Linked DNA regions of Stegostoma tigrinum. The protein of the gene in region 1 purifies or fractionates together with the protein of each later gene. This does not show direct contact. Links are inferred from orthologs where the notes say so. Each region holds a gene or a part of one and is shown in the gene's direction. Other genes may lie near its edges. The genes, in order: kelch-like ECH-associated protein 1, ikbkb, microtubule-associated proteins 1A/1B light chain 3A and niban2a.

Region 1 (7,460 bases):
CTTCTGCTTTACAATCAAAACACCTTACTGAAAATAACTATCATTAATCCACCCTCCCATGCTTGGCACACATGTCCAAGTATACACTTGAAATATTTTTCTAAACAAATCTTAAAACTGCATGCAAACCTCACATTTCCATTTGAGTACGTCTAAAATTTGTTTCTAAATGTTTAGTTCTAAACAGCAGCTATCCTGGAAAATCAAGTAATTAACGCATGTCGAGGTACAACTGTGAAAAAGCTATCTTCATGTTAGTCATCATTTTTCACCTACTGAATCACAGGGAAAGCACTGCAGCCTAGTTCAACATCATCCTCATCCAGTGTATTAACAACAGCATCCATGGATAGCATTCATAAACAAGAAGACAACTGTAGCTTGCAAACTGCTGTCTTGTCCAAGAACCTAAGCGACCACAAACTACAGATAAAATTGTCGTCTCATGATTCAACTGTGTACCAGCTGGTACATTTACCACTGAACAAACTGGAAACGAACTGAGCAATTATAAAGCCTATAAACGTGACCATTTAAAACAGTTTGGTGTCTACTTTACTAATAAGTCTGCATTTACTTAAAAACTCACTTGATTGAAGGTAAATGAAAGACTTGTGGTTCGTTAATCTTTGTCAACCACTGCACTGTCTGCCAAAACATTTTTTCTTACAAGATCAATTCTGAGCTATTACTTTAAAGGAGAACGGTATTTCATGAATCACTTTAGTAACTGAAAAGTGGAAAGCAAAATAATGTCTCACAGCCCAAGATCTTAGCTGAATAACTAATGAGATCACTTCAAATGGGACAACCTTATCCAGTCAGGGGCAAAACAGTGGTTCAATGGTGAGCACAGCTGCCTCACAGCGCCAGGGACTCGGGTTCAATGCCAGCCTCAACTGACTGCCTGTGTGGTGTTTGCACATTCTCCATATATCTGTGTGGGTATCCTCCCACAATCCAAAGACGTGCAGGTCAGGTGGATTAGCCATGCTAAATTGTCCAGGGATGCGCAAACTAGGTAGAATGCCATGAGAAATGAAGGGTCACAAGGATAGAGAGTCTGGGTGGGATGCTCTTCAGAACGTCATTGTGAACTGGTTGAATGGCCTCCTTCCACGCTGTAGGGATTCAACGACTCTGCTCATACCAGACCAAAGTAACAGCCTTGCACTATGAGGGAATGTCTTGAACTGAGTTCAAGCAACAGTTTCACTTTGTGACAGGGAATTTAAGGTATGTTTATTCTTCATTAGAGAGCCATGCAGTGTGCTGCCCGAGTTCCAACTTGTTTGATCTGAACATGAATAAAGACTGCACAAGTCTACCGGCAGAAAGAATATATCAGAGATAAAAACAAAGAGGAAGAAAAAGAACTGTTAAATTTACTGAGATAACAAGGTGTAGAGCTGGATGAACACAGCAGGCCAAGCAGCATCAGAGGAGCAGGAAAGCTGACATTTTGGGTCTGGACCCTTCTTTTGAAATGGGGGAGGGGAAGGGCATTCTGAAATAAATAGAAGGGGGGAGGCAGATGGATGATGGATAAAGGAGTAGATAGGTGGAGAAAAGACAGGTTAAGGAGGCAGTGATGAGGCTGGTAGGTAGGAGGTAGGGGTGAGGGTTGAGGTGGGAGGAGTGGGTAGGTGGAAGAAAGGACAGACAGGTTAGGGAGGTAGGGACAGCTGGACTGGTTTTGGGATGCGGTTGGGGACAGGAAGATTTTGAAGCTTGTGGCGTCCACATTGATACCATTGGGCTGCAGGGATTCCAAACAAAATATGAAGAGCTGTTCCTGCAACCTTTGGGTGGTATCATTGTGGCACTGGAGGCGGCCCAGGATGGATATATCATCCAAGGAGTTGGGGGGGGGGGGGGGGGGGAGTCGGGGGAGTCGAAGTGGTTCGTGACTGGGAGGGGAGGTCATTTGTTACGTACCGAGCATAGGTGTTCCACAAAGCAGTCTCCCAGCGTCCGTTTGGTTTCCACAATGTAGAGGAGGCCATTTACAGGTCTTGACAGGTTAACTTGCAGATTAGTTTTTGAATGAAAGAGGACAGTATAACCACTTAATAGATGTAATTTTTTTTGAATTAAATATTTCACTGCTTTGGTGTCATACATGCAGTTATTAGGTTAATTCAACTTATGTCCGTAATGGTTACCATTAGGTCTGCAAATAGAGCAATCTAATCTTAATCCAAATCAGTTGTCCTTGCTTCTTACACTCTTCCTTTTCAAATAGTTAAACAATGCATTTCTAAACTGTTACAGGCTTCTATTCAGTAGTGCACAACCTTCCACATTCTAATACACTTCTGAGAATGTTACCGATAGTCTTTTGTGCAAGGGTCTGTGTCCTTACATCTGGGCTAGAAGACCATAGTTAAGATCCTTCTATTCCAGAGGTGCATCATAACATGTTTGAACAGGTTGATTAAACAGATGTGAAAATTTTATTCCCTGATGTTCAACTTTGTCTTTATTCTTGATGTTTCTGGTGAACTGTTAATTTCAATTTAGCTTTTGCTAAACAGGAAATAATGAAGTTATTACAATGAAAGTCAATGAGAATCAGAATACTCCACTGGTTTGAGTTATTCCTAGCATAGAGACCATTTACCTTGGCACATTATCGCAGGGAGTTCTTAGGTAGTGCCCAAGGCCCAGGTATCGTTATAAAACCGTTTTATCAAAGACTTTCCCTTCATCTGGAGGATGTTCATTAGTGATTGGTGTGGAATACTGACCATTCATAAACCCACCAATACTGAAACAGTCTGGGGCCTTATGTAGTAGAAGATGGACAAAATTCAGGCTTGGGTCGATAAGTGGCAAGCAATACTCATGCCTCACAAGTGCCAGGTAATGACCATCTCCAAACAGAATCCAACCATCTCCCTCAACAGACAATGGTGCTACCACTGCTGAATCCGTCACTATCAGCTTCCTGAGGGGTTACATTCACCACAACCTTAGCTAGACCAGCACTGACAACGCAACCTTTTTGCGGAGTTTTGGTCACCTTATTTCCAAGGGATGATGTAAACAGTTCAGGAAAAAGCAACAATCATGATTTGTCAGCAATTCATACAAAGACAGATGAGCAATGAGCAATAGGGAGAGGTAGATTTGTGGTGATTTTGTTTTAATTATTCATACTTTGTAATTCACAGTCACCACCCTTAATTGCCTTTGACAAAGTCATAATGAACCCCCTCTTGAACTACTACAAACCTTGTGGTGAAAAAGCAACAATCATAACTTTGGGACTTGATTCTTAAAAGGGGAACTTTAAAAAATTTTAAATTGGAAGGGGAAATTGAATACTGAAGAAGGGACACAACTTTTTTCTTTGAAATCCTGACAAGCCAAGTCAACATGTACAATAGATAAACAGACTATTTGATGTCAGACTGGCTTACTTTAATGGTTATGTTTGTAAGTCAGATGACTGTACAGTCAATCCCCACTTCAGGCAACAAACAGAATCTAGGCTGACATTTTCACAAAGTACAGAGACAACATTGCACTACAAACAGAAATGCCAATTTCCAAATGATCCATTCATTTAGGCTCTCCCTCCCTGTTGACGGAAGAATCTCATTGTACCTTATAAAGAACAGAATTCCCTTGCTGTCAAGTTAAATATCAATCCTTCAACCAAATACCACCAGAACAGATACAAATAACTTGCATCTTTCAGATAATAACATTTTAAAGTGCTTCACAGGAGTTTTACAAAATCAAATTATGACACTGAGCTACCAAGGTTGTCTGATCATGAGTTTAGTGTGTCACAGGTTAAATTTTGCTGAACGCAAATTTGGGCAGCACGTTCCCCATGTTGCATCAACTGCTGAACTTCAAAAACAGTTCACTTGGTGATACCTAAACGCAACTCAAAATTTAAAAATTGCCAAGCCTAAAAGTAAAGTCATCCTCACTTAGCAGCGGGTAAGAAAAGTAAGAGGATCATAAAGTTCTAGCAAACGCATTGCGTATCACGAAATAAAAACGGAAAACGCTGGAAACATTCAGGCAGATTTGAAGCGTGTGAAACGTCAGAATCACCGAGGATCTCTTGCGGTAGCGTCTCTACCTATGAGACAAGAGGCCTGGGTTTAAGTCCCACCTGCTCCAAAGGTGTGCAATAACATTTCTGAATAGTTTGCACAAAGTATATATAAAACGCTCAGTTTTACAGCATTAACCCCTCACCTGGGAGTTGGGTTTCATCAATACCTGGAGGGGACAAGGGGCATTAAGGGGAAGGGGAAGGGTCAGGACTGAGCGGGGGGGGGGGAGGAGGTTAGAGAACAAGGAGGCGGCCTACTCTTATCTTGCTCTGCAACCGCGGGATCAGGTAGCACAAGACCGTGACCAAAATTTGCTCATCTAATGGATCACAGCCGTGGGCTGCCCAGGAGCCTGAGAGCCCGAGGCCTTTGCTTGTTACTCACCGAGCCTCAGGGTGTGGGACAGCGGGCGCGCCGCCTTCGCGCTTCCTGTCTCCTAGGCCGGGTTTCCATGGAAACTGTCAGTGAATTTCCCCAGCGTCCACCTTCGCTCACATCAGTCACTGCAGCCGTTATTAACCGCTGCGGAACGGCACCGGGCAGGGCCGGTTTCCGATTTCGTTTTGGATCATGCGGTGCGCGGAGTTAAAGAGGATCTGACATAAAATCAGAGTGCCAGGCGGTCTGACAGGGTCCGTGCAGAAGTGAACAGAGTCCACGCCTGATCACCGGGAGTCTCATTCAGAACGGTAAGGCAGAATTGTGGTCTCCGTTTGGGACGCCCGATTTGATGACAGCGGTTCCATTTATGAGCACAACACTCCAGCAAAATCCCCGCCTGTTTGCAAACGACTGGACGTGCGTTCAGCATACTCCATTTCCCAAAACAAAACTTCGCTGTCTAAAAGGACCGACGACCAGTCAGGTTAGTTGCAGGTTGATTTCCCCCCCACCCCCACCGTCCGCCAGATCGTACTGAGATGATGGGAGTGTTTGGTGGGTTGGAGTGTTCTTTACAGTTGCTTGGAATTGTGTGGTACGGCATTAAAATCTTGGTTCTCAAATAAAGGTTTAGAGTGTTAGAGCATGGAAAGAAGCCTTTCAGATCATCGTCTCTCCAAGCACTTGTCTACTCTAACTGTTCGACCATGTCCTGAAGCAAACCAGGTACCACAGTCACATCACCTTCCTCAGCACCTGCCTACGGAACCGGATCATCCCCAAAGGACTACAGTCTCATCCCTTCCCCCACTGCATCACAAAACCAGCCCAGCCTGTCTCCGCCTCCCTAACCTGTTCTTCCTCTCACCCATCCCTTCCTCCCACCTCAAGCTGCATCTCCATTTCCTACCTACTAACCTCATCCCGCCTCCTTGACCTGTCTGTCTTCCCTGGACTGACCTATCCCCTCCCTACCTCCCCACCTATACTCTCCTCTCCACCTAACTTCTTTTCTCTCCAAGATGATAAAATGTGAGGCTGGATGAACACAGCAGGCTAAGCAGCATCTCAGGAGCACAAAAGCTGACATTTCGGGCCTAGACCCTTCATCAGAGAGGGGGATGGGGTGAGGGTTCTGGAATAAATAGGGAGAGAGGGGGAGGTGGACCGAAGATGGTGAGAAAAGAAGATCTTCGGTCCGCCTTCCCCTCTCTCCCTATTTATTCCAGAACCCTCACCCCATCCCCCTCTCTGGTGAAGGGTCTAGGCCCGAAATGTCAGCTTTTGTGCTCCTGAGATGCTGCTGGGCCTGCTGTGTTCATCCAGCCTCACATTTTATTATCTTAATTGTTGTTGTCTTTGATTAAAGAGTCAGCAACCATGTCATTGCTTCTCTAATTATGTCATCATCTGTGATTGATTTATTGTATTTTTGCAGGCCTTATCTTTTGCTGCTGATTTTGGGAAAAAAAGACTGTTTAGCTTTCAAAACAGACTTCAGCTCATCAGTTCTATTTGTCCAAAGTGTGCTGTTCAAGGGTAGACTATCCCTGAATTTACTGTACATGTTGTGTGGTGTTTTTCCAAATTCAGCTTTTTTCTGATCAATATACTTTGGTTCTATCTATAAGCAAACACTCTTATCATAGACAGAAATTCATTTTCCAATTCCACATGGAAGTTGTATATTTTAAATTTTTTTTGTAATTAGTCCAGGTTCATCATCCATTATTGTGTCTTCATCCTGTATGTCATGATGTCACTCCACTGCTGGTCATGCTACAGGTAGGCCTATGAAACATCCAGAATATTTTGGCTGCTTTCAAGTGTGGAGGCACAGGAGGTCATTTCTGTTGTTTCTGTGGCACCTGGTTTGCTTGCATTGTTTGGATATTGGAAGTGGAGCATAGCTCCACATGCACATGATGAGCTGTCCAGGCTCCTTCGTTTCTGGTACTATAATATTCTGGTTTCACACATCAGTTCCTCATATTTCTTATTCATTTGTTTGTATTGCCACTACAAAACTTATATTATTCTGCAATAATAGTCCAACTGGACCAAAGTGAAACACAATGCAACAAGCTGGTAAAATTTGCTCAGAACATGCACTTTTCAGTAGTTACATAGCCTCCAGAAATGAAAGTCATGCAGAAGCATGATGTGTGCCTGGTAAGGGAATATGGGTGGGAGTGAGATCAACTGTAATGGACAGGTGCAGATGTGGAACATGGGCAGGCTATGTGATTTGATGTCAGAGACAGGCATAGTGATGGAACATGGACAGGTAATGTGATTGACTATCAGTGAGGGTGCAATGAGGAACATGAGCAGGTGGTGTGATTGACTGTCAGAGATAGGTGCAGTGATAAAATATGGACAGGTAGTGTGACCGATTGTCAAAGACGGGCACACCAAGGGAACATGGGTGAGTAGTGTAATTGACTATCAGAGACAGGTGCGACCATGTGTAATTGTAATTAACTGTCAGACTCTGTGATTGATCAAGTTGGAGATCATATCTTTAAATCTATCCTACCTGGTAACTGACCCCTCTAAAGGGAATGTGTTATTCCTTTCAACCATAGCTATGCCCTTCATAATTTTGTAGGTCCCAATCAGGTTTCCTTCTGTCTCCTCTGATCCAAGGAGAACTCTACCTTAGAGATAATGGGAACTGCAGATGCTGGAGAATCCAAGATAGCAAAGTGTGAAGCTGGATGAACACAGCAGGCCAAGCAGCATCTCAGGAGCACAAAAGCTTACGTTTTAGGCCTAGACCCTTCATCAGAGCTGCAGAGGTCAGTCATTAAATAAGTCAGAAATTGATAGATTGAGTTATTAAAGACATTAAGTGATATGGAGATAGGTAGCCAACTGTGATCTAGAATGGCAGAGCTGGCTTGAAGACTAGGCAGAGGCCAGTGAGGTCCTACGTGTCCATGTCAGAGTAATCTTGGTGAGGTACTTCAGTGCATCTTGTAGGTGGTACACACTGCT
Region 2 (7,492 bases), on another chromosome or scaffold:
TAATGTAGGAAATACAAAGCAAGCCCTCACAAACAGCGATAAGTTAAACAGTCAGATGTCTTTGTTAGGGATGTTGGATGAAGGATAATTAAAGTTCTGGTTGTTGAGAACATCCTGCTCTTCTTCAAACAATGCCTTGGATTCTCACCCATATGTTAGAACAAATGGGACTTCGAGATAACGTTTCATCCAAAATTCAGTGCATCCAACAGTGCAATTTTTCCCTCGGTCCAGTCCTTGCAACAGTGCAAGGCTCCATCAGTGCTGATCAGCAATAATGAAATGTTTCCTCTAAACTGACCATCCAGTGGTGCAGCACTTTCTCAGAACTAACCTCCCAACAGTGTAGCACTCCCTCAGTACTGTCTCTGCAACAAAGAAATGGTGTCTCAGTACTACCCTCCAACAGTGCAATACTTCCGCAATGCTCCCTCAGACCTTTACTTCAACAGTATAGCAATCCCTTAATGAAGCCCCTCCCAAAGTTCAGTCCTCATGGTACATTCCCTCAATCCCGCTCCTGGAAGATTGCAACACTCTCTTACACTGTTCCTGCAACATCGGTCTCTCAATACTTTACTCTGATAGGGCACCATTCCCAAGGTACTGGTCAGGGCTGAGGACAAAGGCACATCAGGGCTCAATAACTGGAGTCGGAAACTTTTGGGGTCTGTTGAGCTTGCGTTGGGGGGTGTGGATGGGATAGTTGTGCTTAACTTGTGGGCAGGGTCACTTGGCTCATGCTAGGTATGGGGCCAAGGTTGGAGATCTAAGCCATGAGCAGCACCAGGCCCCATATTTCTGTTTCTGCATTTATCAGAGTTGAGTGGTCCCTCAGCGCTGCCCCTGTAATAGTGCAGCACTCCTTCAATATTGTCACTCCAGCTGGCTGATTACCCTTAATACTGCCCTTGACAGTGCAGAGTTATTCAGGTACTGATGCCCCAAGTGTGTAACACTGTCTTAATTCTGCTCCTCCAATAGTGAAGCAAGCCCTCAAAGCTGACCCTCTGACATTATAGTGATTTCCCCCAGACTGTACTTCGACAGTGCAGTGTTCCCTCAGTACTGCAATGGAAAATCAGCTAAGTACTTTTGCTGTAGCTGCTGGAACTTGAATAGACAACCTTCTAACTCAGCAGCTAGATGGCTACCAACTGAACTGATAACGCTGCAGTCCTGAGATCTTGACAGTCAGTGGGCTCTCTCTATAGCTTGGAGGAATAGCTTTCCCTTTTTATTCTTCTCTGGCACTGAGGCCTTTGTTCTGGAGGATAAACCCCATGCCCACATCTCTTGCATTCTATCTCCACTGCAGCCTCCCTGTGTATCCTCTATCTTCCTGTCACCTCATTCTGCTCTCTCTCAATATTCCTGCAGCACTATTACCAATCACTGCGCTAGTTAATAGGTTACCAGAGATGGGATAGAAGAAGGGGAAATGGTTGTATTATGAGCAGTCTTAGCAACTCATTGATCAGACATTGACATGTTAATCACAATTTCAAATTGCAGACAATGCAAGTCCAACATTTCTCTGCTTAATATGGTCAGGAATGAGATTGGGGATGTGTGTGTTAAAACGTTACTACATTGTGTACCTACAGCACAGCTGTCAGCCACACCTTGTAGTGGTCTGGCTTTCCAAGGGTTGGGTGCGGAACAATGAAAACCACGAAGATATGAGGGGATCTCCAAGCATTCAATCACCTGGTATAGAACTGACACTCAAAGCTTGTGACTCAGAGATACTGGTTATCCACTGGTTCAAAGAGAAAGTTAACTAATTTTACTGTAGGTAGAAGTTACTAACACTGATTACTTGATTTATTGCTATCACCATTATAATCCAGCATGATATCTTGAATATTTTTCAATAAATCAGGAAGCAACTTCGAGTCTGATGGAGGGTCCTTTTTCAGCTTCTGATGAAGGGTCTAGGCCTGAGACATCAGCTTTCCTGCTCCTAAGATGCTACTTGGCCTGCTGTGTTCATCCAGTTCTACACCTTGTTATCCCTTGAGTCTGATGGAATTTAGTTGCCAAAAACGTTCATCTCCTCCTCCTCCTTTTGTTTCACCATGGACAGACTTGACTTCAGCTGTTCTCAACTTAAATTCAGAAATTTACTACTGATACATCTCTCTTTTCTCTTTCAAAAGCCAGTTTTCAAGGCCTTATGGTTTGGAATTTCTTCCCTTTGCACCTCTCTCGCTTCTTCCTTTAAAGCCATATTCCACCTCTTTAACCAAACCCCTCCATGCCATTGTTGATGCCAAGTTTTTCAGCTTCTTAGAATATCATCTCAGCTGTTAATTTACACCACCTTGTGGCATTGTGTTGATGGAGTCCCTGACTTGAGTTGGAAGAGACATAATTTCTCACCAATTGTTCAGAATGCATCTGCTGCTAGACTTCAACTGCTATGTCCAGGATTGACTCCTGAGCTGCACATAGGATAAGCTACTTGATGTGGTTTTCAACCAAACTGAGGTCGCTGCAGTCACTGCACAGGATACTTACCACCGTATGATCCCAGTGCCCCTCATCAGCCCCAGTCATAAACTACTTGATTGTCAAATACATTGATTGCTAATTTGGTTTCTTTGTTTCAGATCAGAACACAGCATCTGATTAAGAGAATAAAGAACATCCTCTTCTGTTTCTGGTTGCAGAATGACCTCTACAGATCGGTGGTTTGGATCTGTCCAGATCATGCAGGCAGCTGAGGAACATCCACACATTTATCATTGCAATGGTAGTTATTCTTACATTGCACTAAGGAATGGTTTGTGTAGCATCTCTAGTGTGATTTAGGTGGGTTGTTAAGGATGCTAATATCTCAGTATTCTCGGCCTCCAAAGCATATTATCCGTGTGCATATATTCTATACAGATGTAATCTGCACAATTTAAAGGCTTTTGGGTGAATAATTGATATCTCCTCCTCCCCAACAGATGCATGTGCAGAATGACATGGAGATAACAGACTGGCAAAAGGAGAATGCTCTCAGCCGAAAGACAAACTCAATGGAATGGGGTCCACGACTACTATCAATGATTTAAAAGAAAACAAAAAACTTTGGATGCTGGAAATCAAGTGATTATTGCAAAATCCTGTTTGATTCATTGATGCCCTTTCGGGAAGAAGATTTGCCATTCTTACCTCATCTGGCTTACGTAAGATTCCAAACTCATAGCAATGTGGTCAGTACTTAAGTGCTCCCTGAAATGGCCCAACAAACCACACTGTTCCAAATCAATTAGGGATACACTATAAGTAATGGCCTTGCCAGCAGTGGCCACATCCCAGAAAGGGATAAAGAAAAATAATTGTGGTAACTACAACCGTGAAACAGTAATGTTTCAATCAGGTGGTATGCAGTGTAGGGGGAGCTAACCAGGCTGTGCCTGTCCCAGTTTAAACTTGGGAGATTGCACGTTGGGGTTAACTAACTCCTCAATCAAACTGGTGACTGAACAGAGATAGTAAGAACTACTGATGCTGGAGTCATAGATAACACAGTGTGGAGGTGGAGGAACAAAGCGGGCTAAGCAGCATCGGAGGAGCAGGAAAGTTGATGTTTTGGGCCAGGACCCTTCTTCAGCTTTCCTACTCCTCTGATGCTGCCACACCTGCTATAATCCTCCAGCTCCACGCTGTTTCATTGGTGACTGAATAGGCCTTGCAGCAGTCAGATATCTAACCTGAGCACTTCTTCCTCCTATAATAGTAATGCTGGCCTGTAAATTTGAATTTAGTAGGAGATACATGGCAGTGCTCACACTGAACATGTTACATTCGCGCTGTTTCAGAAAGTTCACAAACATTAAAAATTTACCTCCAGCCAAGTGTTTGTTACCCAGGAATAGTTGATTGCAGTGGCCAGTGTCAGTTCAGATAACCCCGGGTGCGTTTATCTCTACTGAGTTAATGTAGTTCGTTACAATTGGATTGGGCTAATTCAGTTAACCTGGATTAATTCTTGTAGCCCAGGTTACCAAAACCAGAGCAGTAATTTAGTTATTGCAGATGAGTTTGTTTGGTCTTGGTTAAAACAGCTTGAATTGAGCTTGAATGCAGAGTTCAATGCAGTTTTTGTTCAGTTAGCCTGGATTTGTTGTATTAATCCAGAATAAAGTTATTAGCCAAGGTTAATCAATCAGGATTAAAACCAGAATTTTCCACAATGCTACCAGACCTGCTGAGCTTTTCCAGCAATTTTTATTTTTGTTTCTGATTCCAGCACCCACAGTTTTTTTCCCCTGATTTTATTTAGCTCATCGGGATGATTTTAGTCTGCCAAATTTGGTACAAACTAACCAGATTGGTTAAATAATTATCCCGGATTAGTTAATATAGGCTAATTTAGTTAGCTAGGGTTGTTTTAAATGAAACGGGTTACTTAAAGCTAGCTACTGAATTTAACCCGGATTAGTTTAGTTTGCTAGGGTGCGCTAACCTGGACCATGTGATGACATTTCCCCCCCGGGCAAGAACCCGGAAGTTGAGTTTGGCGAGAATTACAAACATTCTGGGGTAAATTCGAGGAGGGCGGCAGAAACACCACCTTGTAAAAGGATCAAATCCAAATTCTCTGTTCTGAAGTTTCTAGAAAGAGTGAAGAAGAGACACAGAAAGACCCCAGCCCGCAGCGTGCCTTGGGTAAGCGACTTTCCCCCCGCCCCGCGACCCGTTTACCTTTCCTAGCGTCTGTCTAAATCTCCACTTTACCGTGGGTTTGCTGCAAGTCATTGGAGAAAATCATCTCTCACCGTAATTACCCAAGGGAAACCGGTCAAAGAACTCATTGGCTTGTCTTGACTTCATATTCAGCATATCTAGAGGGACGGGTTACAGGAAGTTGCTCTCTCAGTCCACCAGTGTGTCCTATCTGAGTCAGCCAGTGATTCCCATAATCTCAGATTGCATCGTGGCCACACTTCTCGGTCTGCCAGTGTCTCCCCGAGTTTCCATCTGCCAATTATTTTCTGAGCCCGAATTTACCAGTGTGACCCTATCTGTCAGTGTCTCACTCTGCCAGTGTGTCAGTGTCTCAGTCTACTATTGTGTTTTTGAATCTCATTCTGTTAGTGTGCCCTTGTCTCTCAGTCTGCCAAGCCATCCACATCAGTAAATATGGTATCTCTGTCAACCAATGCATTCCTGTCTCTCTGTACAATATCAGGAAATCGCAAAAGGCATTGTTATAGCCAGAGCTGTGGGCACTGTCAATATTCTAACAAGAGTACTAAGCACTTGTGTTTTGTCATTAGCTGTTCCAGTGCAGCTGCTACACTGACAGTGTGGAAAATTGTCCAGTTATGTCTTGTGCGCTAAGAGCAAGACAAACCAACTCGGCCAATTACAACACCTGATGCCCACCCTACCCCCAATTGCCCATCAATCTCCTCTTGATTGTTGATAAATTGGTGGAATGTGTCATCAGTTGTCATTGTTATCAGCACAGAAAATGAACAGAGCATTAGATAGAGTTATTTGAAACTGTTAAACATTGCATAAATGAGTTTTTTGCTTCTGTCTTTACGAAAGAAACGAACTTTGTAGTGAATGAAACCTTTGAAGAGCAGGTGTGCATGCTGGAATGGATAGAGATAGAGGAAGCTGATGTGCTGAAAATTTTGTCAAACATTAAGATTGACAAGTCGCCAGGCCCGGACCAGATTTGTCCTCGGCTGCTTTGGGAAGCAAGAAATGCAATTGCTTCGCCACTTGCGAAGATCTTTGCATCCTCGCTCTCCACTGGAGTCGTACCTGAGGACTGGAGAGAGGCAAATGTAATTCCTCTCTTCAAGAAAGGAAATAGGGAAATCCCCGGCAATTATAAACCGGTAAGTCTCACGTCTGTCGTCTGCAAGGTGTTAGAAAGGATTCTGAGGGATAAGATTTATGACCATCTGGAAGAGCATGGCTTGATCAAATACAGTCAACACGGCTTTGTGAGGGGTAGGTCATGCCTTACAAACCTTATCGAGTTTTTTGAGGATGTGACTAGAAAAGTTGATGAGGGTCGAGCTGTGGATGTGGTGTATATGGACTTCAGTAAGGCATTTGATAAGGTTCCCCATGGTAGGCTCATTCAGAAGGTCAGGAGGAATGGGATACAGGGGAACTTAGCTGCTTGGATACAGAATTGGCTGGCCAACAGAAGACAGCGAGTGGTAGTAGAAGGAAAATATTCTGCCTGGAAGTCAGTGGTGAGTGGGGTTCCACAGGGCTCTGTCCTTGGGCCTCTACTGTTTGTAATTTTTATTAATGACTTGGATGAGGGGATTGAAGGATGGGTCAGCAAGTTTGCAGACGACACAAAGGTCGGAGGTGTCGTTGACAGTGTAGAGGGCTGTTGTAGGCTGTAGCGGGACATTGACAGGATGCAGAGATGGGCTGAGAGGTGGCAGATGGAGTTCAACCTGGATAAATGCGAGGTGATGCATTTTGGAAGGTCGAATTTGAAAGCTGAGTACAGGATTAAGGATAGGATTCTTGGCAGCGTGGAGGAACAGAGGGATCTTGGTGTGCAGATACATAGATCCCTTAAAATGGCCACCCAAGTGGACAGGGTTGTTAAGAAAGCATATGGTGTTTTGGCTTTCATTAACAGGGGGATTGAGTTTAAGAGTCGTGAGATCTTGTTGCAGCTCTATAAAACTTTGGTTAGACCGCACTTGGAATACTGCGTCCAGTTCTGGGCACCCTATTATAGGAAAGATGTGGATGCTTTGGAGAGGGTTCAGAGGAGGTTTACCAGGATGCTGCCTGGACTGGAGGGCTTATCTTATGAAGAGAGGTTGACTGAGCTCGGTCTCTTTTCATTGGAGAAAAGGAGGAGGAGAGGGGACCTAATTGAGGTATACAAGATAATGAGAGGCATAGATAGAGTTGATAGCCAGAGACTATTTCCCAGGGCAGAAATGGCTAGCACGAGGGGTCATAGTTTTAAGCTGGTTGGTGGAAAGTATAGAGGGGATGTCAGAGGCAGGTTCTTTACGCAGAGAGTTGTGAGAGCATGGAATGCGTTGCCAGCAGCAGTTGTGGAAGCAAGGTCATTGGGGTCATTTAAGAGACTGCTGGACATGTATATGGTCACAGAAATTTGAGGGTGCATACATGAGGATCAATGGTCGGCACAACATTGTGGGCTAAAGGGCCTGTTCTGTGCTGTAATGTTCTATGTTCTATGTTCTATGTAAATTTTAAAGAAAGAGGTTGAAGATTCAGTAGCCACGTGGCACAAGTTCAAGGTGACTAACAAAAGAACACAGTGAAAAGTTATTTTGCAATAACTGATTTGGGTTTGGAATGAATAGTCTTGGGCTGCTTTAAACAGAATCAATATTTTTTGCACAAGTGAACTGCAGAATTACTTGGAGCAAAGATTGAGGATGCTTGTTAAGGAACAGGGAATAGGAATAACTGGATTGTTTGTCAGGAACTGTCATGAACTTGATGAGCTAAATGGCTGTGCAATCAT
Region 3 (7,420 bases), on another chromosome or scaffold:
CATTAGATTATCTGGTAAGTATCACCTTGCTGTTTGTGGGAGTTCGCCGTGTGCAAATTGGCAGGTATATTTTCTACATTACAGTAGTGACCATATTTCAACAATTCCTGTGAAGAGCGCTATATAAATGCAATAAAAACAGAAAGTGCTGTAGGACTTAACGGGTCAGGTAGCATCTGTTGAAGAAGCATCACAATCCAAAGAAGATTCGTCTTGGACTCAAAATATTAACTCTGTTTTTCTCTCCGCAGATGCTGCCTGACAGTTCTGCAGCATTTCTGTCTAAATTTCAAATTCCCAGCATCGGCAGTAGTTTGATTTTATACAAATGCATTTAGCTTCTCTGCCTTTGGCGAAGTTATCTGTGATGAAACATTACTCTGTAGCTCTAGCTGCCAGACAGGAGGGTGTAAAAGATCCCAGAGTACAAACTTGATGAAGATCAGTAAAGTTATCACTCATATAAAAACATTGCTGGGAAACTCAGCAGGTTTGGCAGCTTCTGTGCAGAGGCAAACAAAGTTAACATTTCAAGTATGACTCTTGCCTCTTCTTCAGACCCAGGTGTCTTGTCAATGTTTACACATCTCTCAATCAATATCACAAAACACAGGCTATCTTGTCATGTTCAGAGTGCTGTTTGTGAAAGTTTGACCCACACAGGTCATTTGCCATTTTTCCCACAATTTCTACAACAGTGAAATTGGTTCAGAAGTATTGATTTGGCTGTAAAGCTCTTTGATACTTTCTGTGGGTGGGTGTAAAAAGCATTACATAAAAGCAAACATTTTTGAGTTCTATCCCTTTGAAGCTTTTTGTTGACCATTTTTGCCATTTGTGTAAGTTATGAAGATGTTAGGGATGTTCTATTTGTGAAAGCCAGTTGAAGCAAGATAGAACTGGCACCAATGTTCACACACTATTATATTTATTTACAGATTTATACAGAATGAGCATACAACACACTGCTTTTCATCATTTATACAAATAGGAGGCATGGTTAGTTAAGTTTGCAGATGACACCAAAATAACTGGTGTAGTGGACAACGAAGAAGATTATCTCGGAGCACACTGGAACTTTGTTCTGATGGGCTGATGCGCAGAGGAGTGGCAGATGGAGTTTAATTTAAACTCGAGTGTTGCAATTTGGTAAGCCAAAGCAGGACAGGACTTGTACATTAATGTTAGGGCTCTGGGGAGGGTTGCTGAACAAAGAGACCTAGGGCATGCAGGTGCATAGTTCCTTGAAAGTGGGTGGATAGGGATGGTGAAGAAGGCATTTGGCACACTTGCCTTCAGTTGTCAGAGCACTGAGTATAGGATTCGGGACATCATGTTGCAGCAGGTCAAGTCATTGGTGAGACCACTTTTTAGAATACTGTGTGCAGTTCAGGTCACCCTACTGTAGGAAAGATGTTATTAAACTTGAGTGCAGAAAAGATTTACAAGAATGTTGCTGGCTCTGGGGAGTTTGAGCTATAGGGAGAGGCTGAATATGCTGGGGCTTTTAACCCTGGAGTTTCGGAGGGTGAGGGTGACCTTATAGAGGTTTATAAAATCATGAGCGGCATGATTACAGTGAATAGCCAAGTCTTTTTCCCAGGGTGGGAGAGCCCAAAAGGAGAGGGCATAGGTTTAAGATGAGAGGGAAAAGATTTAAAAGGGATCTAAAGAACAATTTTTTCATGCAGAGGGTGGTGCGTACATGACACAAGCTGCCAGAGGAGGTGGTGGAGGCTGTTGCAGGTACAAGATTTAAAAGGCATTTGGATGGAATGAATTGGAAGGGTTTGGCAGGATAGGGGACAAATGTTGGCAAACAGGACTAGGTCAGAGTGGGATGTCTGGTTGGCATGGATGAATTGGACTAAAGACTCTATTTCTGTGCTGTATATCTCTATGACTTCCAATGAAAATCATGCAGCATTAGTCTGTATCCATACAGATTCAATTCCTGTCAGAGTTAATGCCCATCATCTGAACACAATTAACACACAATTAATCAGAAAGATACTTCTGAGTCTATTGCGCAAAGAATTAAAAAAAATCATAGTTCCACCTGAAATGAGATCTCACACTAATTCTATTGTACAGCTGCTAACACACATCCTGCCTCACATGAACGACGATTAATCATGGAGGGTCTGATATTGCCAAGTTATTTCCAGATGACGATGCAAAATTCAACTAAGCATAAGTGCCACTGTGAATGTGGTAAAACATTGCAGTAACCTGCTGTAAAATCCAGTATATGAGATACAGGTTAATTTCATCTGATATTTATCGTCTGGGCTTTACAGCAGAGAAACAAACACTGGTAAAAATGACATATAAAAATACTGTTTCAGAGACAGAAGGAACTGCATATGCTGGAGAATCAAGAAGGGTCTCTCTGAAGAAGGGTCTCAGCCCGAAACATCAGCTTTCCTGCTTCTCTGATGCTGCTTGGCCTGCTGTGTTCATTCAGCTCTACATCTTGTGATCTCTGTGTAAAAATGCAGCATGGACAAAACTATTCCCTCCTGGTGAGTTCTCATCCTTCATGGAGTTAAACAAGAATTACACTTCATGGTGAGAATGGTGGTTTAGTCTGCACCTGGGGTGGAATTTGGGCAGTGTGAGGTGGGTGGGAGCTATAAATGGAACAATAACCTGACTCAGAACTACCCAGTAATGACAGCACTGAAATAGATCATTTGATCCAATTGGGTTGTGCCATTGTTTCAACTTCAAATAAGCCTCATCCTGCCCTGCTTCATCTTCCCCATCAGAGAGTCATTGCATTCATTTCTGTTTGAGCAGCATATCCCGCTGCCCCTTCGGGGCCTGCTCCAATAGTATGATTTCAGCCTTGGTAACCAGATTTTAAATTTAATTAATTTGTAAGTCTTTATTGAAATTGTTAATAACAAACATGAAGCTACTGTTTCGCTATATTAAAATCAAATTCTATTGAAGAGTCATCTAGATTCAAAACATTTTCTCTCCATGAATGCTGTCTGATCTGCTGTGATCTCCAGCACTTGTTTTCTGTTAAAAGGAAATATGCTATTTTTCCAGAGGAGGGTATATCTGCTGTCTTAACCTGACATGGCCTAGCCTACAGACCCACAGTACTGTGCCTGATTAATCTGCCCTCTGAAATGAATTCGTAAGCTACCAAAATAAAACAAAAAAACTGTGGATGCTGGAAATCTGGAACAAAACAGGAAATGATTGGAAAAAAACTCAGGCCTGGCAACATCTGCAGAGAGAAGGTAGAGTTCACACGTTGAGTCCAAGCTGCTGACGCTGCCAGACTTGCTGAGTTTCTCAAATAATTTCTGTTTTTGTAGCAATCTAATAAGTTGCACAAAACTGCTACAGAAAAACAGCACAAGTGGTGCACCTCTGCAATGGTTCAGGAAAGTGGTGGTCAGAAACAATTGGGAATTGTCAATAAATATTGGCCTTGTTAGTGACTCTCATCTCAAAAAACAATTTCATAAAACCCTGAGTTAATTGCTTCCTTTCGGCTCTGCATGCTCTGGATAAAGTCATTTCTTTTTAATTATCTACTGGAGTGGCGATGATCTTATATTTAGGATCTCAATTTATGTCTCCGCCACATCTTCTCCATGTAATCTTTATCAAATTTCGTTTTAAGGCAGTCCGCGGAGACGGCGGATGAAGGTTTAAACCACTTCAGCAATGTCAGTTCTCAGTATCACATCAAAGCGTTAACTAATCTTCCGAATGGACCTGTGACCTCACCCAAACACTGAATCACCAGGGAAGGAAAATAAACTAAAAACAAAGAACCGCGGATGGTGAGGAGCTGAAACAAACAAAAACAGAGAATCCCAAGATCTCTGACCGAAAACGGAGAATGCTGGGGAAACTCAGCAGGTCTGGAAGCGTCTGTGGAGAGAGAAAAAGTTAACATTTCGAGTCCAGTGACCTTTCTTCAGACCTGCTGAGTCTGTCCAGCAATTTCTGGCTTTGTTTTTAAAAACCCTACCACGCTTTAAAGGTGAAGTAAACAAAACTATTCCGTGTGTCCACTAAGATCAACGAACGGCGTGATATTTTATCATTTATCACTGCAAGCGGACATAAGTCCACACCTTCTGCCGAGCAATTCCGTAAAAATTAAAATCGACACCTCATGATAACTGTAACAATCTTTTGTCGTTGAATGTAAATATGATCTAAGTTGAGATTGTTGTGTTTCGTTCGAATGCCGTTCAACGGCTGGTCTTCAACCGAAAACAAAGCGATGAAGTGTGCTGCTCCCTTTGTGTGTGTTTGGCGGGGGGGGGTGGTGGTGTTTGTGAGAGGAATGTGGGGTGGGGGTGGTGTTTGAACACTGGAGAACTTGTCACTTTCTTCCCCGGGTCCTCCCCTTGAAGTATCTTTTGCGTTGACGTCAAAGTGTTCACGTGATGCGGTTTGTTACATCGCTCTGTGCTTGGACACATCAGGAACTGCACCGTCCGCTTAAGCTGATTATTCTCGGGTTCTCCTGCTCAGAAAATGCCTTCTGACAAGTCATTCAAACAGAGAAGAAGCTTCGGTAGGTGGTCGAGCAGCGCGGGGAGCAAAGAGGAGGCCGACCGAGAGAGAAGGGGGAGAAATATACCACTTGGGGAAGAGTGTGACTTGTGTATGTGTGTCCCTGTCTCTCCTCCTCCACGCAGCACCACCCTCCCCCCTTTCTCTGCGGGACTGTTGCTGTTTTTCTTTTTCTCTCCAATTTGCCTTTGACCTTCTCTCAGCTGACTGGGGTGGGGGCGGAGGGGATATACCGGTGTGGATTCTTTTAAACAGCTGCGAGAAGGACACAGGCAGATCAGTGAGAGCGAGAAGGGGGAGGGGGTAGCGAGAGGAGAGATAGAAAATAGGGATCGGTTGCAGGCAGCAAGGATGGAAACGTCGCCAGTAGTTTAACAAAGGGAAAGCGCGCTGGAGATCGGGGTGGCCTGAGGACAATGCGTGCACGCACCCTAATCCTCAGAATCTTTGTACTTAAAAGATGTTTTTTTTTGTTGGTGTTGAAGTGAATTTCAATTATTTCCTCACTTTTTCTCAATGTCAGAAATGAATCTGCCTAATATTTGTGAATCATTGATCGATATGTCGTTTTTGTAACAGTGTCTGAAGCTATCCTTATGATAATTCGTGGGATAGGGCTTCCTGAAGGACGTGAAGGTTTATTGTTGTTCTGTTCATATTTTGGAAGCCATTTTTACAGGAAAATCGCCCCTTTTTAAACCCTGTTTTGGTAACAATGGAAATTCATCTCCTGCCTCCAACTTTACAGATCTTTACGTTTTGAATTGTTGGTTAGAAAACGAGTTAGAACATTTTGACATTCTGTTTTGAGTTTGGATAATCTGGTCGTTTTATGTTTAACAATAGATTCTTTTAAAAAGAAACGAAATGATTTGTCATTGAGTACTGCAATAAACGTTGGGGGTTTTAAAATATTCAATCGTTAAATTTTGGCCCAGATATTTTTACAACTCTACAATAAACTCCGAGGATAACTCGTTCTGTGTTTGGCGAAAAGAAAGGCAGAAATCATTATGTTCAGTTACATGTTTGGCGCTGACAAGATTTTTTTTTCTATTATCTGTTTAATGGCTGAGTCACTAATTCAATTACCATTAAAGAAAAATGACAGTTTAGGTTAAGAGTGTGACAAATGGTGAATATGCAATAGGTTATAATGTATTTATTAGTTAAAATAATAAGAGCTAATTAGGGTTCCCTCAGAGACTCAGATTTCAATGTGTTTTCTTCATTTGCAATGTGCCAACTTTGAGGGAATAAAATGTTCTGGCTTTCCCACACTAATATTGCAGATATTGGAGATAATTGAAACCATCATTATTTTATGACAGTTACTGAGTTGAGGCCTAGTTTGAGATGGGTTATCACCAGGGCAGTTGAACCCTATTTGTTTCTCTAAGGTGATTTCAGATTTCACAAAAATCTGTAATTTCCTTCTTTTTAGGTAAAACAAGACTTAGTGGAATGGCTATATGTAAATTAACATCTTTTTTCTGACCAGTATCACTATGTTGTAGTTTTCAATACTGCATTTTTTCTCTCCTTCAACATGAGTGTATACGTATTGCTCCTACCTATAAAATCTAGATGCTCCATAACATTGACCAGAAATATTGCAGAAAAACACAATGATCTAATAAATCAATTAGGAGACACTTAAGTGTTACTACATTTTATCAAACTCACTTAAGAAACTACAACTTTCTTAATGTCTTAAGACGTGGCCTTGTTAATTAACTTGGAAGCTGCAATCATCTTTGCCAAAACTGAAAGTCTTGTTGGGCTCTTATTGTTCACCACCATATTCTGTTGATTTCCCTGGCTTCAGTTTTTCTGAATGAAGATCTGGAGGTTACTGGACCCTTGAAGGACTTTCCTTCCTTCACCTTGCTTTCAAATGCATTGACTATACTGTTTTGGAGTAACACTGCACCTGGTCTAGGGAGATATTGGTGCATAGCTAATGTTAACTCATGATGCAGAAGCTGTATACAGTACTGTGTTGTGCACCCTTTCTGCAGATCCACCTTTCTCCCCCATTTGAATTGATCTTGGACAGCCTTGTCTTCATTCACGGGAGGTGGGCATCAAGCATTTCTTGCCCATCCCGAATTGCTCTGGACTGACATTTCAGAGGATAGTAAAGAGTCAATACTGTTGTGGGTCTTTAGTTCATAGAATCCCTGCAGTGTAGGAACAGGCCATTCAGCCCAACAAGTCCACGCTGACCCTCGGAACATTCCGCCCAGACCCATCCCCCTAATCTACACATCCCTGAGCACTATGGGCGACTTAGTATGGCCAATCCACATAGCCTGCACATCTTTGAACTGTGGGAGAAAACCCACACAGACACGGGGAGAATGTGCAAACTGCACACAGTCGCCCAAATGTGGAATCAAACCAGGGTTTCTGCTGCTGTGAGGCTGCAGTGCTAACCACTGAGCCACCGTGGTTTGGAGACCAAGTGTGCCAGACCAGGTAACAATGGCAGATTTTCTTCCCCTAAACAGCATGATGAAATAGATGGGGTTTTTTCACAGAAAACTGACAGTGCCTTCATGGTCAGCATTAAGATAACTTCCAGATTTTTGTTGAATTCTAAGTTCACCAACTGCTGTGGTCAGTTAGAGCATGGGGTTCTAGATGATCAGACCAGTAACAACAACACATCGCCACTATCTCCCCATAATGATGTGTTTGACCAAAGGAGACCCCCAACCTCACCCAGTGCCTGGAAAGTCTAACAATGTCTAACCCTTATCCAATACAGTGACCTTGCTGGACTACCCACTTTACCTTTCTCCAGGAAAGGACGTTGGTCCACTCAACTAGTTCTAGAGAATTCTACTGAGCTCATTCAATA
Region 4 (6,872 bases), on another chromosome or scaffold:
CGCTCTCTGTGGCAAGGAGTTCCAAAGACTTCTTTTCTACTAATCCCATTTTCAGCCTTTCTAATCAGCTTCCCATTAGTAGTTATCCTGCACCTAATGTAACTTCACTGTATCCAAACCACAGCTGCTCTAAATTTATCCTGTACAAACTCTGCTTGCTTATTGCCGCTCTACTTGCTGACTTAAATTGGATTACAGTCTCTCAATGGCTCAAGTTTAAAATTCTTATTGTTATGATCCCAGCTGATGGTAACAGTAGACAGGTCAGATCTCATTTGTAAGCCTGGCTTGATAGATCATAAGTTTGCAGTTTTGTTTCCATGATGGTCAGTCATTGAACATACTGAACATAAGATTGCCAATGTTCTTTTAACAAAATAACACAACTTTATTACACAAAAACATTGAGAAAAATCTTCACATGTGTCAAATTGAAAGATTCAAACTTATTCCCTGCAACACCCTTTGCAGTCACTCAATCCCAGTATTATTCCTATCTTAACTTTGTGATTTCTTAAGGCTCTTTCCAAGTCTTCTCCTTGGACTGCTGCAGCTGTTCAAGAGTTTCTTTAAGGATTAATAGCTTAAATACTTCTTTTCAACTCGAACAACTTGGATACTTATTTCTAAATCTGATGACCTAAAGATTCTACCAACTCCCAAAGCCTGCAGACTTGGACTCATAGAATTATAGGGTTATACAACACAGAAACAGACACTTCATTCCAACTCATCCATGCTGACCAGATATCTTGAACTGATCTAGTCCTATTTGCTAGCATTTGGTGCATGTCCCTCCAAACCGTTCCTATTCATGTACCCATCCAGATGGCTTTCAAATGTTGTAATTGCACCAGCCTCCACCACCTCCTCTGGCAGCTCGATTGATATACGTATAACCTTCTGCAACTCTACCAACTAAAAGTTCTGCTCTGCTGCTTGGATAACTTCTTTTTTTACGAACTCACCTGCGTAATGGCCCAAGACCAGCTGTTTATCTTCATAAAACTCAACTTTGTAAATATTCTTCAATTCACTACCTAAGTAGCTAATTGAGTTCTGTAGCTTAGGTTGCATGCATTCTTGGTAAAACCTATTTTTAGTTCATGGCTCAAAATTACTTTCAGGCCTTTGTCTATTAAAAAATGCTCTCATGGAATTAAAAACTAAAATTTATTTTCTTCCACTTGTCAATTCAAATTCCCAAATAATAACCATATACTGCATACTTACATCACATAGCTTCCACAAAGGTAGCAGGGCAGATAGATAAGGTGATTTTTAAAAAAAGGGAGGCTTGACTTTATTCGCTAAACCACAGAATAAAAGAGCTGGGAGCTTATGCCGGATTTGCGAAAGCCACTGGTTAGGTGCTTACCAGACTACCACGTGCAGTTCTAGTCATTAATTTATAGGAAGGGTGTGACTGCACTAAAACTAATGCAAAGGAAATTAACCAGGATTCTACCCAGTCTAAAGGGTCTGAGCCATGAGGTGGGGTGGATAGAGTGTATAGAAATGAATGTTTCCATTAGTAGAGTGGACAATAACCAGGGGCATAGATTTAAGGTTGAAGGTAGAAAACTAAGAGGAAAGGTGAAGAGAATTTATTTCACCCACAGGGTAGTGAGAGTGAGGAACTCACTACCTGAAGGATAGTTGAGTCACTTGCATTGCCATAACCTCCAGGACTGTGGGCAAAGAGCTGGAAAATGAGGTTAGTGTGGCTAGGTCTTTGTTGACCGGTCCAGGCATGATGGGCTGAATGGACTCCTTCTGTGCTGTAAGTGTCTATAATCAGTCAGCTTTAATTGCTTCATGTCATTAAATTCCCTATTAGTATATTGTTATCGAGTGCTATAAAGCTCCACACTTTTCTACGGTCTTTAAGCTTCTCTTTAAAACTTCTTTGGTTTTCCATTAATTTTTGTCTGAATATTGCTTAGCATGAGATATTGTATCAAAGTGTTATTAAATAATAGTGATAACATTAATAATAACTATCTGCAGATTAGTTGATATTGCAATTCTGATTTCAAATGTATGTGCAGAAGCAATGACCTTCATGTTAATGAGAGGTTTTGCCCTACTGTACTGAATTACAGGATTGAGACTCATTGCTTCTTGTCTGTTGTTCTAGATATAAAAATTATGGTAATTCAGTATTCACACCACACCCATCCCAGATTTCACTGTGATTACATTGATGTCATGGTAATGAAATTGTGCTGAAAAGTGAAACAGTTGACACGGCTTCTAATTTTACCTAATGCTATCAATTTAAATACAGACTGTGACAAGCACATGGTAGGAATGTCATCTTCCCATTCAGCCATTGGGTTAATTTCCTTCTGTGATCTCTGTGTTCAATTACAATGACGGCTCACCTAATAGAGGAGCAGATGTTGTTGAGCAAACGGGAGAACAGGTTAGGTATCCTTGTGCTTCACATAAAAACAAGAACAGATTGTGCTATGAATAATAGTTATACATGTCACATTTTGTCAATAGCATTCAGAGCATATATTGTCTCACTTTCAAGAGATATGAGTGTCACTGGTAAAGATTAGCAATTATTGTCCATCCCTTAAACTGACTAGCTTGTTAGGTCATCTTGATAAATTCACTCACAGAATGTGGATGTTGCTTACTGGGCCAGAATTTCTTGTCCATCCTTAGTTGCCTTTGAGAAGGTGGTGGCAAGTTGTCTTCTTGAACTGCTGTGATCCATTTGTTTTAGGGACACCCATACTGTAGTTAGGGAGGGAGTTCCAGGATTTTGACCCAGTGACAGTGAAGGAATGATGATATATTCCCAAGTCAGGAGGGTGAGTGGCTTGGAACAAACTTGCAGGTATGGATGTTCCCATGTAATTGCTCCCTTTGTTCTTCAAGGTGGCTATGGGTTTGGAAGATGCTGTCTAAGGAGCCTTAATGAATCTCTGCAGTATACTGCTGTTGCTGAACATCGGTGGTGTCGGCAGTGGGAGGTTGTGGATGTGCTGGATGGTGACAAGCCTTTGGCTGTTGCTAGAGCTGCATTCATCCAGGCATGTGAAGAGTATTCCATTCATCACATTCCTAACAGTGGACAGGCTTTACAGAGTCAGTGATTTGCTTGAGGCAGGATTCTTAGCCTATGACCTGCTCCTGGAGCCACAGAATTTGTATGGCTAGGCCAGTTTCTGGTCCATGTCAGCCCCCAGGATGATGATAGTGAGAGATTCAGTGATGGTAACGCCACCATGTCAAGGGGAGATGGATCTCTCTTATTGGAGATGACTATTGCCCAGCATGAATGTCACTTGTCTCTCGTTGGCTCAAGCCTGGATATTGTCTATATCTTGCTGCATTTGGACATGGAGTGTTTTCAGAGAGGGATTAAGAGTCAACCGGATTGTTGTGTGTCTAAGCTCAGATAACAGATCCCTTCTGGGGAAGGAATTAGGCTATTCTATCCATCGCATCCGATACTGCATGCTTCAACTAGTATCTACCCCAAACCATTTTTCCGTAATATTGCCACATCCCTTGCTATCCGATCTGGAAATCTATCAATTTCAGTCTAGAATATCCTAAATACTGAGGTTCCCCGGCCCTCTGGGGGAGAGAATTGCAAAGGATAAAAAATAGACTGGACTTCCTACCATTGAGTCTAATCCTTGTTTTTCTAAAGCTGTTTATTCGTTTTGCTTTCTTTTAAAAGCGACTGAAGGGCGTACGTCGTGCGACCGACATTGCAATTCAGTTCAAAAATAGGGTAATGAGCTGTAGTTTTAGCAAGTTTAAGGTAATAGCGCATGTGCCATTTTTAAACCCCACCCCTAGCAGAGGGGAGGGCTGTGGGGAGACCCAGATGAAAACTTGTTGAACCGGGAATAGGGAGGGGTGTGTCCACCGGGGAGTGAAGTGTTTGGAGAAGCTTTTCCCTGCGACTGAGCACAGACCTCTCAACCCACGCCTCTCTGGGAAACCTTTGTACCTGTGTTGGGTGGAGGGATTCAGTGTTGTGCGGAGAGTGGGGCGCAATGGGAGATGTGATTTCAACTCACCTTGATGAGAACCGGCGACAGTTTATCACAGGTACGGGGGAAACAAAGCGGCCCTTTCTGGCGTAGGGTCAGAGATTTGTCTGCCTCGCATTGGGCTTTTCCTTCCAGATTTGTCAAACTTCACGTAAAGATTTGCATCGAGTCGATCGCCTTGTCGCTGCGAAACTTTTGTGCGGAGAGAATTTTGTTCTTAAATGCTCTGTCAGTTTCTTGATGGTAACTGACTTGGAACAGGCAGCATTCTGAAGGGCTCAGTGCTGTTCTCTGGGGAAGCTCTGCTATAGGCTGCTGGCCCGAGAAGCTGAGCTGTGGTCTCTCTCCCTTCCCCTGATCCACAAGGTCTCTTCATGTTTCTACATGGACCACACAGGCGAGAAAGACCAGTAGCCGCAACCCGAGGCTGGGTTTCTGTTCTATCTTATCAGGGATGTTTTGTTATGGGCAGGGAGAGAGGTCCCTTTGTAACTTTTTTTTTTAACGTGTACAATGAAAGGGTGGGATGTGCTTTGTATACAGGGAATACATTTTGACGTTGCTTTATAGAGCCTGTGAGTTCGTATCTTTATAACTTCTATATTAGCAACTCCAGCCTATTACAGCTAGTGAACTACACGTGGGAGGAATCCGATAGCAACCGTTTCTAATTAAACAACAAATACATTCTGCAATAACAAGATGTAGAGTTGGGTGAACACAAGCTGGAAAGCTGACGTTTCGGGTCTGGACCCTTCAGAAAAAAAAATATACGTTCTGCATCTCCTTCTCTGCCTCCTGAGGCAGCTAGTTAGACTGGGTTCCACCCAAACGTTAACTTGTTTATTTGGGACTTCAGGATATCCTGAGACAGCAATGCAGACTGGTGAATTGAGTCAAAGGTGGTGTAGGCTTTACAGAAGTTTAGAAATGTTTCATCTCCAGCATGAGAAGAGGTTTCCAAGCACCCAGGTAATGTAGTTGAAGGTTTGTACTGTTGCTGGTAGACTGTTGGTGGGGGGGTGGGGTTTGGTTGTGGGTGAAGGTATTATGGAAACCAGCAGTAGCTCTTCCATGGACACAGACCTCAGGAGGTTGTAGTGTTAGCCTTTTGTGCGCAAGGCACTGGTAAAACCTCTCTGTATAGAGGAAATGGGAGTCCATGAGAATGATGAGCAGGAGTAGTCAAGAAATAAAATTTTTCAGCCGCACCCATGTCTTGCCCAAAGTTCTGTGTGTTAAGTTTTTTTTCATGCAGGGTGGAGTACGGGAGCACTGTTGGAGACTGAAGTTTAGAAAAACAAAAGCTTGAATGAGGGCATCGTGGTTTTAATGTTACTGTTAGTATTTCAGTAAAGTGAGCACCTGTTTGTGTTTTAAGCCTGAATGAAAGCTCCTTGATTACAGCAGACAGAAGTCCAGTCTGTCTTTCTGCTCATGAGTTTTCTTTTCATGAGAAATTGATGAGAAATGGTGGAGTGGCTGAGTGCTGACTTTCCATTCATTGTGACTTTCCTAGCTTGAGTCACTGGTATTTGAGTGACTAACTTGGCAGAAAGCCTTGGTTTAAATTAAAACAGTCCTCGTCTGTATCACTTAGGGCTAATGTTTCCCCACAACTTATAGTGGATTCTGTTTTGTGGCTCTCCAGTCTGAATTCAACCTATTCAACCAGCAGCATTGAACTTGGGCAAAAACAATATTGGCCTGTGTGGATGGGTGAGAGCTGGACTTGGCCGCTGACAAAACAAATGACAGCCTGTCTGTTTGCTGTTGACTGTTTTCTCTTCACTCATGCAGAAAGATGCTGCCAGCTTGTCAATGTTGCAGTGTGGCTTAGAGCATAAGAACTGCAACTGAGCTGCAGTAAGCATTGAGCTATCACTCGTCTGTGCATTTTCTCAGAAGTGGCAGTAACTGTTTTGGTTTAGGGAAGATTCATCTCTGATATGTTTGGCATCAGGAATATGTCAAAACATTACTTCAGGTGCAAAGACGGGGTTAGGAAATGATTAAATATCATCAATTGAAGAAGTAGTAGTGGTACTGAAGATCTCACATGAGTAATCTAAGATTTAGGCTTCAGAACCCACCCCTGCTTAAAATAGGCAGCTGACCATTTGTATGTAACTTAAGGAGTATAAGGTTTAGTAGGTTAGGTATGATGCATTACCTAAATAAGAGGGGGGGGAAAAAAAGTGCCACGACAGTTAAGGTTGGTTCACTTAGTCGGGGGAGCCACACCAGCGTTGTCATTGTGTGAATTGATCTCGGTTGTGAAGACATCCTGCTGCTTTTTAGCCAGTCTGTTAAGAAATTCTTCTGTGTTGCCTTCACATCGAAGATGGACAATTGTTAACAAGCACCACCACCTGAAGAAGCTCCTACCTCATACCATCAATTTGTTAATTTACTTGAATTCTAAAGGCTGGTAGTTTCTGTTGTGTTAATCATTTGTATGAATCTTTCTAACCGATGAGCACAAGACAGATCCCAAACAGTTGCCACAGTCACTTTCTCTGATCATCTCCCTTTTGGAGCAACTTTTGATTTTTTTTGGTTTCTCCAAATACTTCTATGGCAAAGAGGTTCTAGACAATTCCTTGACTTCCATTGGGGAATGTAGTACCTCTTGATACTGAATGTAATCTTTGTTAGCATTACCTCCAGCTTACATTGCAGAGAGGGGGGTGGGGAAAAAAATCAATGCAGTATGAGCTATATTTATGAAACAGTCACACTGGACAGAATATACTAGTTTGAGAGCTGTAATTTCTTACAATGCTATGCTTTCAGTTGGGTACTTGTTAATGCTAATGATATGAAGTAATAGATTGCTTTCAGCAT

Evidence for each region.
Region 2: the proteins of kelch-like ECH-associated protein 1 (region 1) and ikbkb purify together in Homo sapiens (affinity purification with western blotting; 7 studies listed by BioGRID and IntAct, with this or other methods). This does not show direct contact. The link is inferred for Stegostoma tigrinum from reciprocal best matches to the Homo sapiens genes KEAP1 and IKBKB.
Region 3: the proteins of kelch-like ECH-associated protein 1 (region 1) and microtubule-associated proteins 1A/1B light chain 3A purify together in Homo sapiens (affinity purification with mass spectrometry; 3 studies listed by BioGRID and IntAct, with this or other methods). This does not show direct contact. The link is inferred for Stegostoma tigrinum from reciprocal best matches to the Homo sapiens genes KEAP1 and MAP1LC3A.
Region 4: the proteins of kelch-like ECH-associated protein 1 (region 1) and niban2a purify together in Homo sapiens (affinity purification with mass spectrometry; 3 studies listed by BioGRID and IntAct, with this or other methods). This does not show direct contact. The link is inferred for Stegostoma tigrinum from reciprocal best matches to the Homo sapiens genes KEAP1 and NIBAN2.

What each region holds. Positions count from the first base shown.
Region 1 is NC_081361.1:41,049,876-41,057,335, forward strand, and holds the start of kelch-like ECH-associated protein 1, read left to right. Parts: upstream 1-4,451; 5' UTR 4,452-4,944; exon of another isoform or gene 4,945-4,945; intron 4,946-7,460. Other genes in the region: acot11a (acyl-coenzyme A thioesterase 11), read right to left, coding at 1,939-1,945. UniProt on the Homo sapiens protein: Substrate-specific adapter of a BCR (BTB-CUL3-RBX1) E3 ubiquitin ligase complex that regulates the response to oxidative stress by targeting NFE2L2/NRF2 for ubiquitination.
Region 2 is NC_081393.1:16,072,478-16,079,969, forward strand, and holds the start of ikbkb (inhibitor of nuclear factor kappa-B kinase subunit beta), read left to right. Parts: upstream 1-4,485; 5' UTR 4,486-4,665; intron 4,666-4,775; exon of another isoform or gene 4,776-4,890; intron 4,891-7,492.
Region 3 is NC_081372.1:12,786,242-12,793,661, forward strand, and holds the start of microtubule-associated proteins 1A/1B light chain 3A, read left to right. Parts: upstream 1-4,411; 5' UTR 4,412-4,515; coding exon 4,516-4,555; intron 4,556-7,420. UniProt on the Homo sapiens protein: Ubiquitin-like modifier involved in formation of autophagosomal vacuoles (autophagosomes). While LC3s are involved in elongation of the phagophore membrane, the GABARAP/GATE-16 subfamily is essential for a later stage in autophagosome maturation.
Region 4 is NC_081382.1:18,990,784-18,997,655, reverse strand, and holds the start of niban2a (protein Niban 2a), read left to right. Parts: upstream 1-3,853; 5' UTR 3,854-4,028; coding exon 4,029-4,083; intron 4,084-6,872. UniProt on the Homo sapiens protein: May play a role in apoptosis suppression. May promote melanoma cell invasion in vitro.